3 linked regions of the Lepisosteus oculatus genome follow. The protein of the gene in region 1 interacts with the protein of each later gene in a pairwise test. Links are inferred from orthologs where the notes say so. Each region holds a gene or a part of one and is shown on either strand. Other genes may lie near its edges.

Evidence for each region.
Region 2: the proteins of atf4a (region 1) and cebpg interact in binary tests that used the Homo sapiens proteins (3 or more experiments, as listed by UniProt). The link is inferred for Lepisosteus oculatus from reciprocal best matches to the Homo sapiens genes ATF4 and CEBPG.
Region 3: the proteins of atf4a (region 1) and ddit3 interact in binary tests that used the Homo sapiens proteins (3 or more experiments, as listed by UniProt). The link is inferred for Lepisosteus oculatus from reciprocal best matches to the Homo sapiens genes ATF4 and DDIT3.

The regions. Positions count from the first base shown.
Region 1 is NC_090707.1:36,440,926-36,444,675, forward strand, and holds the start of atf4a (cyclic AMP-dependent transcription factor ATF-4), read right to left. Parts: upstream 2,428-3,750; 5' UTR 2,243-2,427; intron 1,045-2,242; 5' UTR 911-1,044; coding exon 640-910; intron 191-639; coding exon 1-190. UniProt on the Homo sapiens protein: Transcription factor that binds the cAMP response element (CRE) (consensus: 5'-GTGACGT[AC][AG]-3') and displays two biological functions, as regulator of metabolic and redox processes under normal cellular conditions, and as master transcription factor during integrated stress response (ISR).
Region 2 is NC_090715.1:15,638,558-15,642,307, forward strand, and holds the start of cebpg (CCAAT/enhancer-binding protein gamma), read right to left. Parts: upstream 2,566-3,750; 5' UTR 2,334-2,565; intron 2,328-2,333; exon of another isoform or gene 2,156-2,327; intron 1,134-2,155; exon of another isoform or gene 981-1,133; intron 1-980. UniProt on the Homo sapiens protein: Transcription factor that binds to the promoter and the enhancer regions of target genes. Binds to the enhancer element PRE-I (positive regulatory element-I) of the IL-4 gene. Binds to the promoter and the enhancer of the immunoglobulin heavy chain.
Region 3 is NC_090696.1:18,056,939-18,060,688, reverse strand, and holds the start of ddit3 (DNA damage-inducible transcript 3 protein), read right to left. Parts: upstream 2,626-3,750; 5' UTR 2,453-2,625; exon of another isoform or gene 1,155-2,452; intron 777-1,154; 5' UTR 725-776; intron 1-724. UniProt on the Homo sapiens protein: Multifunctional transcription factor in endoplasmic reticulum (ER) stress response. Plays an essential role in the response to a wide variety of cell stresses and induces cell cycle arrest and apoptosis in response to ER stress.

The sequences.
Region 1 (3,750 bases):
GGCAGGGGGTCGGGGAGAGGGAGGGGGTCCAGGTCGAGGTCCAGGTCGTTCTCCAAGGAAGCGATGAGCTCCTCCGGTGAGCTGGGAGGGTCGTCCGACGCGCAGGAGCCCATCAGGGAATCCAGGTCGAACTCGCTCAGGTCAATCTTCTCCGCCATCCAATCCATGCCGGAGAAGGCATCCTCCGACTCTGCGGAGCAAGGGAGACGAAACACAGGGGGGATAAGCACTTCGGTTTTCATCGACTGGCGTGACTTTAAAAAAAGAGACAGCGCTGGGGATTTTTTAAAAAAATAAAAACCGCAGTTATTTCTAAACGTCCACAGGTGGATGTTGCGATCTGACCAGCATGCAAGCGTTTGCCCCAACCCCAAAAATCTTCAAAACAAGACCAAGCCTCCCACCCCTGGGGGGGAAGAAAAAAACGCCACCCACAAACCAGCTCACAACAGGAGAGGGCACCCCCTCATCCAAACGTCTGGATACAGATCTCTAGTGCTGAGGGAGCTCAGGAGATCAGGAGTCTAAGAACACGTTTGTATTGTAAGGTGCTTCGTACGGCAGACTCCGGTGCCGCCGGAGAAACCTCGGGACACAGCCGCGAGGAAAAGCGCGCAGGCCGGAGACGCAAAGCCTCACCTTTCCCGCTGCTCACAGCGGTGGCGTCCAGCAGCGTGCCAGTGGACAGCCAGTGGAGGCCCAGGTCATCATCAGCCTTGCCCAGAGAGGGGCAGCCGAAGAGAGAGGGGGAAGAGGGAGAGGAGGAGGGAGAGAGAGAGGCATCGGAGGGGGTCGAAGGCGCCCCCTCCAGAGGCTCTTCACCCAGGAGGGAGCCCAGGGAGTCAGCCGTCAGAAACGGCTGGTCCCACAGGGGCTCCTCCAGCCCCAGGCGGGCGCTCAGCGACAGCATGGCTGGTCAGCGCGGGGCAGAGCAACAAGGCGGGCAGAGAGAGGGGGGGCGCCGAGGGGTCTGCTGGTGACGGGGAGTCGAGCCGGTCTTCTGTGCTGTCGACTGCAGCAGTGCTGAGGGTTGCCTTGAGGGACCTGCAGGAGCAAGGGAGAGAGCGGTGAGGGGAAAAAAAAAGACGCCATCGAGGAAAACGATGTAGTGCGATTCACGGAAATTTACTAACGCCGAACAAAGCGAAGGGCCGCCTGTTGTGGGGCACATCCCCCCCCTCCATGTCTCCCCAATGTCCTCGAGCTTGCTCACAGTGACAGATCTTACTGGCTTCAGATTTAAACTGGTTCAAAGCTTTTGCAAGATCTGCTACTTCACATATTTGCAACCCAGAAAGTATTGGGGGGGGGGGGGTATGTGTTTTTAATCTCTGGGGTACAACTGAACAAAACCACCTTGTTGCCTTTCGTCTGATTTTGACGAAATCCCCCCCCTGGGTAATTACACTGTGGTACCCGTGTGTCCCTCTCCTGGTTCATTTTTCAGCATGACGCCCCAGCAACCCGCCGGGGAGGGGAGGAAAACCCCGCCCGCAAATGGAAACAAGCACACCAAATATGGGCATGGCCCGAGCGGGAGCCCCGCCCCTCTCGTCTTGTGACTCACGCCGCTGGCGCCCAGCCCGGCAGTTGCTACAGCAACCATTATTCCGGGAACCCGTGTGGGCGGGGCCAAAGATTCGGCGCCCTTCAATACCTCCCTCCCACAGAGAACAAGCTCCACTCGCTGTGGCGGATGAGCCGCAGACGTCGCCCTGCCCGTACAGAGGCATGCCTCTCCCACTCCCTAAAACAGACGCCATTTTCCTGGAGCTCCACTCCCTAGCGCTGGGGAAGTGCGGGGGACCAACGCCATTTTACTTGGCTGCCACGTTGCCAAAACCGATCGAATAGCGGGGACCGGCCGGAACGTGTCTAATTCATTCAACACGTCAAGCGAGCAGGAAAGACGAATGGACACGTTGTACGCTATCAACAAGGCAGAGCGCGTTTATAGGCCCATTTTAATGAGTTAAACGGGTCTCCCCCACTACAAATTCTACAGTAATCATTCGTCCATATGTTGATACTAAATGACCCCCATCTCCGAAATTATTGATGTTTAAACGTCATTACATTCTCCATACACCAGTCTTGGTTTACCCATTTAAAAAGAAATCGGATAACATAACCCGGACCTTCATTTTCAGGATCACCTCACTTAACACTGAAGTGGTTGCTTGGCAACCCACAACTACACTTCCGACCTCCGCGGGTGAAGCAGAACAAAACATATACTCACGCCATGTTTGCCAAATATAAAGCCAGTGCAATTCGCCGCTGCACTGCCGGGTTTGCCGCTGCTGGTTGGGCCGCTGCACGCCGTTATACTGCCATTGCTGTGGGGTGGGGAGCGGGGCCGCTCGTGTCACGGATCTGAAAACGACTCTCTTCTTCTTGTTCTTCAAGGGCAGAAATGTGGCAGTTCGTCATCCGCCTCCGCTTATATAGCCACCGCCACGGCCGTGTGTCCTTCCGAGGGCGACTCATCCTTGGGCGCTCGTATCAGTCCGCCACTCGTCCAATAGCGGAGCTCGGGCGCGCCGGGAAGTAGGGCGCTGGTGAAAACATTGGTCGGGCGCGACAGGCTCACGGCCGTGCTCATTCCACATGACAGTTTTAGAAGCCTTGAAGCGTGTGTGCTCGTAAACACACGCGGTTTTTTCTTTTAAAAAAGGAAAATCATGGAGGGCGTCGCGAGTTCACCTAAGATGAAGATAAACTTGAAAGGTTTAAATAGCAGTTTAGGTTCTCTGCCCCGCCCATTGAATGCAACCGACCTGGGTTGCCGTTTTTCTCATCGATTGTTCGTTCACACTGTTGGCGCTTTTTTTTTTTGTTAAATTCTGCTGTGTTTCTTCCGCTTTTTAATTTCAGAATGCATTTGAACATGATCCCGCGTCCCTTTCTTTTTAGCGCAAAAATGACGTCACGTATGACGTATGCGCGGGCATAGATACATCCGGCAGGACCATAACAAAGCCCGACACACGGAAACCCAAACAAACGGGGACTCCCGTTATTTTGCAATACAGTTAACGATGTCAATTATTGATAGTTTTGAAAATCGAACGTGGCGTATCGAAAGCTCAGCTTACGTCACAATCCTTAAGGCTGCTGGTGTCTTTGTCGGCACTACTTTCTACAATGGAAGACCCGGTCACGCAGCGCTGTAGAACAACTCCTAACGCTGATTGGCTCCCGCGGCGCCGTTCACGTGTACTCTTCCCTCTCATTGGATGAGCTGACAGGAGCGGATGAGCGGGGAGGTGTGAGTCAGTGGTTAAGGTTGACGCGGTCAGAAGGGGAAAAAAAAAATCGATAAATTGAGAGAGAGGGATTTTTTTTGTTGTTAATGACGAGAAGGGGCGGGAAAGCAATGTATTCATTAATACTACAAGATAATACTGACGTCATTTTTGAGAATTCTCTCAATTATATACTCCGGTAATAAGATTAAAAGACATAGCATTTTATTTTCATTTAAAAAAAGGATGTATTGAACATATTTAGAGGTCTGTATGTGTTATCTGCTCTAGAACACAGCTGCGTTATGAAAATACATTTCTCCACGTGTTTTAGGTGTAGTGGTACTTATTCCCCGCAATTAGTCCATGTTAATCCAAATACTGATAACAATAGGTCTTGTTTATATTTTAAAGTCTTTTTGATGTACTTCATACAGTTTTTGAGCGTTTTAAAATGTTTCCTGAGATGTCGTGATAAGGCGGATACAATTTCGTATCCGAT
Region 2 (3,750 bases), on another chromosome or scaffold:
GTCTCTGCAATTGAGTCAAAGCACGAGATATGAGAAAGCAAAGTTGCCAGTACAGTGGCACCAAGAGATTTCTGTTTTGAAATGCTGCTCTAAAAAGCGTGTTAGCACATCCAGTATTATCCCATCAATTGCATCAGGCATAGAAGTGGTACTTTATTTTCATGGAACAAGTAATAGGTTTACTTCCCTGCTGAAAAGAGAAGAAAGAAAACACAACGTTTCGGCCGTGGAGCCTTCTTCAGGTGTCATTTTTTTTACACACTAGCTTTGCCCTGTACATTGAATAGGGAGTGTCAGTTTCTGGGTGGTTACCCAGCACTTGGTCCTTCGCTGTGCAGCTAGCAGGGCTGTCTGTTCCAAGAAGCTGTTAATATCAGTTGAATTCAAACCCGCTGTAGCAACTTAAAAAAGCTTTATATAATCTCAGTGACATAATGAAGATGTTCCCCCACTAATTAAATGTAACTGGGAGGCACAGTGGTGCAGTGGTCAGTACTGCTGCCTTGCAGCGCTGGGGCCCTGCATTCAGTTCTGGGCCTGATGAGCTGTCTGTGTGGAGTCTGCATGTTCTCTCCCCGGGTTCATGTGGGTTTCCTCCTGGTGCTCAGGTTCTCTCACAGTCCACACACTGGTAGGTCAACTGGCCTCTGAGAAAGGGGCCACAGTGTTGCGTGTGCCCTGCCATGGACTGGTACCCCACCTTGTCTGCCTGGACAGGCCCCGGCTCCCAGATGACACTGTACTGGGAGAAGCGATGAGAAAATGGATGGATGGGTAACGCAACAGGATCCGAGCTCAAATTAAGACGTCTGCGCTGGGTTTTCATTAACTTTATTTGGTCCCTCCATCGGCAACCAATTAACTATATAAAAAAGCAAATATAGGAGGAACACCTCCATCTTTCGCGTCTACTTCCGGGTTCCCAAATTCACCTGCATCCCATGTGACCAAACCCCATAAGTCACATGACCGCGCGGCGCAGAGACTCGACGTCGCTCGCGAGTCTGGGGAGCTGGTGCCGAGTTTAGATAAATCAAATGTCAACTTTGGAGTTTGGGTTATCTCTCTATAACCCTGGACGAAATACGTATTGGATATGTAGAAATCGTGTTGCCCACGACAAGCAGGCTCAGGTAAGCCGGTCACAGTTTCTTCCTAGAAAACAACATAAACTGTGTGCAGACGATTCTCGTGTCTTGTTTAATCAAGGGGATATATATCCAAATACAAGTCAATCGCTGGGTACTCATGTCAGCCTGCGAATGCGTAAACGATGACTTAGCGTCGTGTGTACATCATTTAAGATGCCCTGCGCATTCGCGCTGCCGTAAAGTGGCGACGAGGTTAAATCCCACGCTGAAAAGAACACAAGTTAAATGTTTCGGCTGTGAAGTCTTCCTCCACTGCGTGGACGAGAAGAAGAAATACGTGGCCTCTCCCCCCCACCACCACCACAGACACACACAGACACACACAGACACACACACACACACACCTGAAGAAGGCTCCACAGGCAAAACACTTCAGCGTGGATCTGGACTCCCAGCTCCCCCGCCTGCCCTTAAACCCCCAGCGCTCATCTACACATTCTGGCGCTGTTTTAGGTGTTGTTGTTGGCTATTCGAAGACACTAAAAGGGGCCAGGCAGCAGGGCAGAGATGACTGGAGATAAACCCCAGCGGGCGACGTGAACACGTGTGCGGCGTGCATGTGTGTCGCCCGGATTACATCAGCGCGCGTACCCGCCGTGTTGCTCCTGGTTGCATCATCGGCCTCTTCCCCTCGCGCTCCCTGCAGCCTCGGGAAGGGAAAGGGAAACTCCGCGCGCCGCCGCACGAGAGAGCACCGGCACGGGGCAGCTCGCTCCGCGCTCCGCGCGCCCCCCCTCCCCTCACTCTCGCTCTCGCTCCGCCGACCCGCGGCCGAATTTTACATTTAAACGGGTCTTTTCTTTTTTTAAAAAGACACTAATCACAATAAATGACTCGCCGGGTGCGTGTGTGTGTGTGGGGGGGGGGGTACCAGCTGCATGGATCCGCCCACTGTTCAATAACACGTCGGGTAGCTTCGCTCCAAACGCTCCTAACAGCCCGAAACGAGCCTAAAACCGCCGCGACCCCGCCGCCATGACATCCCCACAGACCGATATACCCACCGAGGTCATCGTAAGACGCCTGTTCCTGGTTAAAACTCCGATCCTGGACCGCGTAGTCCTCCCTGAACCCGCGAGTCGACAGCCCACAAGCCTGGGCTCGCTGCTTAGATCGCAAGAGGAAAACAACGAGAACAGAAATCCTGGTCGGCAGGGAAAATAACCCTCTCTCGCCACTTACCTGGGGCGCTCGCCGGTCCACCCGAATCTTTAATCGAGGCTCGAAGTCTTTTAATTTTCTCTTTTTTTTTTTTTCCCCCCTCGATACCAAAAAAAAAAGTGTGTGTGCGTGTGTGTAAGGGGGGGTCCTGTTTCTGTTTTGGTGTGGTACGGGAGCTGGTGTCAGTATTGCGAAATCGAGCTCCCCGTGTAGGGGAATCTGTCAGCTGAGCCAATGGCCGGGGCGCGTCAGCCCGGGGTGACGCAAGGCGCCCGCTGAGCGGCAGCCCGGCCGGCCAATCCGGGGAGGCCGCCGCGGCGCCGGGGGGGAGGGCGCTGCTGCGGGATATGCGCGCAACTTCCGCATAGACGCGCAGGGTGTCAACAGCGAAAGCTCCCAGTCACAGGTCAAATAAGGAGCGTGTGCGTCCGAACAATGCCCATACTGTACCTTCACTGTTTAGATTCAGACGCATGTTCAGTTGGAAGGGTGGAGGGGAGATATTTGAAGGAAGTCTCAGTTCTGGGAATCCGGCTGTTAAGAAAATAAGACTCGGTTATTGTTTGTCTGGTTCTCAGAGAGGTGCTGAAAGCTCGCCTCATCGTTTAAAATGTAGACACGGGTGTTGTTGGGGTTTTTTTTATACCATCTTTGACCCTTGGGTTTCGAGAACATTATGGAACGATGACGCGGATTCCGGAGAAGGTCTCTTAAAATAATAAAACTGAAACTGTAACGTTTAAACATAGTGTAGCTTTCTTTTTACAGGACAGGGGAATAGTACAGATTAAACGAGCAAAATAGCAGGTGCGGCAACAGCATGCCCTTTAAACAGTAAGAGTACAGATGTTTTAACTTTTTTTCGCACGGATTTTACATTTTGTCGCTTTAAAACAAGCGGTCATGACACTTTGGAATATCGGTATTTATGTACACAATCTATTCCACACCTTCCAACACAAAATTCAGTGGAAAAGGGTTAATAAAAATATTAAGGAAAAGGGAAAACTCGTGATTGCATGAAATATTCGAACCATATGCTCTAACCAGGTGCCCAAAATTACTTTCACATTGCCACACAAGAAGTTCATTGGGCTCTGTGTCCAATGATAATTCTTCACCATAAATGCATCTGTCCCATTCAGGTAGTGAATTTCATGCAAGGATTCAGCCACGAAGACCAAGGAGGTCTCAAAATATTGCAGAGATGTTGTAGAAAAGCACAAATCAGGAGAAAGCTATAAGGAATTCAAAAACACTGTATATCCCTGAGCCCTGTGAAGTCACTCATTAAGAAGTGGGATTTGTATCATACAGATGGCATGGTGGTGCAGCTATTAGCATTGCTGCCTTGCAGTGCTGGGGCCCTGGGTTCAGTTCTGGACCTGGGGTGCTGTCTATATGGAGTTTGCATGTTCTTGCTGTGTTGGCGCTGGTT
Region 3 (3,750 bases), on another chromosome or scaffold:
AACACATGGAAGAGCACTGAAAACTGAGAACAGGAGGAAGTTCTCTACACAAAGGGTGGTGGGAGTGTGAAACAAGCCAACCATCCATGTTGTTGAAGCCGATAGCCTGGCTTCTTTCAAGAAACAGCTGGATGAGATCCTGGGATCAATCAAGTACCAATGAGCAAACGGGACAGAACTGATGAATGACCTCCTCTTGTCTGCGAATTCCGGTCCGAACAGAGATGTTTTAATATAGTACAACTCTGTTCTCCTCTCCACCGATAGCTAGTGTGTGGCGAGTGTACTGGTGCAGTTGGGGCTGCACACTGCTGGTGGTGGAGTCGAGTTCCCATTACCCGTATAGCACTTTGACTGGAGTGTCCTGAAAAACTCTATATAAAAGTGTAAGTGTAAGTTATAAGGTAATAATATGACAAGCTGCGGTGCACTTATGGGGGTGGCATTGAGACTGAGAAACAGCGCAGCCTGCTGGCTTACATTCACTTTGAAAACATGCCCCATTTATAATGTATAATGTTTATAATTTTAAAAGTTTGATACTGCAAGCGGCTTCAAAACTCATAGCACACCTTCATCTCTTACTCCCTTATATAGCTCAGTAAGTGGGGAAAAAAAAAAAATTATACGGGTTTATCAAAGGTAAGTAACTGTCACCAGTCTTCACAAGTACTAGAACATAACTCTTTGCTTCTTATCCTAAAAAAACAACAGCACCATTCACCTTTTAATCAAGTCTGGCGATGATTCGGCGGTGTTGGTGTGTCAGAGACGATCTAGGGAAAAACAAATATCTTTTGTTAATATCTTGTACTCAGAAGAATCTGAATACCCCCTACAGCAGAATCAAAACCTACAGCTGGGCAGGCTGACACACATTTTACACAGCTTCTGTCACACATATCAGACAGCATCCGAGATAAAAATGGACTGATTGGAACACGCCCATGCTTAGGCATTCTGTGATGTGCTGAGATGATAACCAAGAAAACGATCTGCATCAAAGTTACATTTAATATTTTATGTCACATTAAATTTTCAGACACTTCAAATTGTTGCCGTTTATAACTATTCACTCCAGGTGGGACGTTTTAAAATGTTGTTTTTTTTTAATAAATAAACATGGCTGGACAAGGGACTTGTTTATTTCCTACCGGGCTAAATCCACTGTGAAATTTAGGTCACGCTGGTTTCCATGCAAACATCGGCGTCGCTCGCGAGCGCCCCCGTGCGGTCGTCTGGGTTACAGCGCTGATCCCTCGCTTAACCCCGCGGCGAGGAGGCGCTCGAGCACGGGGCACAGGTGGAAGGAGCTCGTTAACGACACACAGGTGAACCAGCGCAGTTGAAACGTTTCTTAAAAATCTATACACTTTGTCATTAAATGGCGCTCTATTTGTCTCCATGGTGCTATTTCTTGATTACCTTTACTCAGCGCGGATAAGAACAGAAAAACACTGTTCCCCTCATGGCTCAAGTTAGTTTCCACTATCCAAACTCACGGAGGCAAATCCGTTACCAGTTCAGAGGAGAGCGACCACAACAATAATTCCTCTCTGTTTAGCATTTATGTAATTATTGTTCTGTACACACCGAAACAGTAAACTCGGCGTTCTACTCCTGGTGTTAGAAAATATATTGGACGCTAGGCAGTGGAAGCAGTAGAAACTATCGCAGCTAGCATCGGAGAAACATGGTTTAGTATGCATGTTTTTTTTTTAATGAAACCTTGTCTCAATAGGACGATTTTCTTCCTCGGCTTGTTTGTTCATCGAGTGCGGGTGGTTGTATTACGTAATGGAATCAGACACACAAAGGCAGTCTGAGGCTCTTGATCACGCTTCCTGGGAAGCATAATTAACAGTCAAATTCACTTGTAGTACTAAACCAGTACGGAATGAACACACATGAATTAAAACATTTGAAGCCTAATCGATTTCCTAAACTTATATATATATATAAACTGACAGTCCCAGTCATTCGATATACGGACGTCTTGGTTAGCGAAACACTGAAACAGTGTGAGGTTTTATTAAATTAAGCTTGAATTACACTGACATTATTTCAATATTAATTGGCTCCTAGGTTGTAATTCAGGTATAGACGTGAAAAAAAGGTAACTAAAAATAGAATAACTTTTTTTTAACGCTCACATTCAAGACAAGATCGAACATCTTAAAAACCAATAAGTCGCCACATTCGAAAGAACATTGTCATTAAAAAAAAAACACAACACAAAAAGGAAAACCTCGTAATGTTAAAACGGGAATAACAACTGTTTTCCTAAAACGGACATGGGAGTTCTGCCAAAACATGTCCCTGCTTGTATTTTTTCCACAACCTCAACCCTCACCGCTAGGGAATAAGTTAAAGTTAGCACAGCGTGTCCAGAAAAGAGCGAAAAAGCTCTTGGAATTCTTGGAATTCAGAATAGACAAAAAAAAACACTCACCCTTTTTCTTTTATTATTTCGCTTTCTTGACTGTCTGTGGTTCGGAGAATTTTTATTTTCTGGTGTGGAGTGATGATAGCTCATGTTAACCATTGTTCAGTAATGTCACTGAATGTGAATTTCGGAAACTCCCGGCGATGCTTATATACTTGGAGCAACCAAACCACTTGAGACAACAGGGGAGGTGACAGTCTAGTCTGACTGCTTAGCGTCAAGCTGTGATTGACAGGTCTGCTGTCCATTCCACGCAGCGCTCGAGGGCACTTTCGCTTAGTGATATCCAATGAGAGGGCGAAGATGCTCAGCTCTCCAAGATGTGTGGCAAAGAAGGGGGCGGGCCTAGTTAACCTTGCTAGCTGTCGCGGGCTGTATAGTTTGTGTGCCGAAGAAGTTGTGATGCAGTCAGAAGACGCCTAGGACGAACGCCGGGGCATGTGGGAGTCATGTGAAATGATGCAATCGTTGGCAACCGGTTTCCAAGGAGAAGCAGGCAGACGACCTGTTAAACTTTGATTTGGTGCCGTTCTCTGAACGGCGTTTAAAACTTTTAAGACCACATTGCGTGTAACTTACTCGTAGGCTGGTAATGAGAACTTTTGTTTTCGTCATTTTTTTCAAGTGGGAATGAGGATTTGGGGAGAACATTTTCGGGGACGGGGGGTCTCCAGCAGAAAAGTGCTGATTTTAGAGTCCCTCTCAGCACCGTGAAACCTCGCAGTTTTAAAACCGGGAGTATTTCTTCCTTACTAACAGTGGTCTTCCGAAAGCAGCCTCATTCCCTGCCTGTGAATTTTATGTCGTAGTAGTCGCCATGATAACTAGCTCTCAGACATACCCGCACGCCGAAAAAAATCCTGATCCAACAAAATTCGTTCATTACTCAATCGCAGTGTTTCTTAAGAGTTGTATATAATGAATTTCAGGCTTTCTTAAATGCGCGCTTAAAAGTTGGTCATAACTCAGAACTTCAATAGCACTCTGAAGTTTTCAGATAAGTATCCTGAATATATACTGACTTTTATTAACGCTAATCTGAGCAAAAGCTATTTTACTGTACTATTATTTATATTTTGTTTTTTAGTGTAACCCGGTAGAAAATATAACGCTTTGTGTTTATTATTGTATTGCTTGTATTTATAGTTAAAAAAAAAGTTGAAAAATAGCCTATCACTGTCCCCCGTGGCCATGAATCAGCTAACCTTTACTTTTGAAACCAGTACTTTTGCAAAGTCATTTCCGCCTGTAGCTCGAGAAGCTCTCCCTCCAAGTTCCGGGAAAATGGCAGCTTCGGGCAGGAC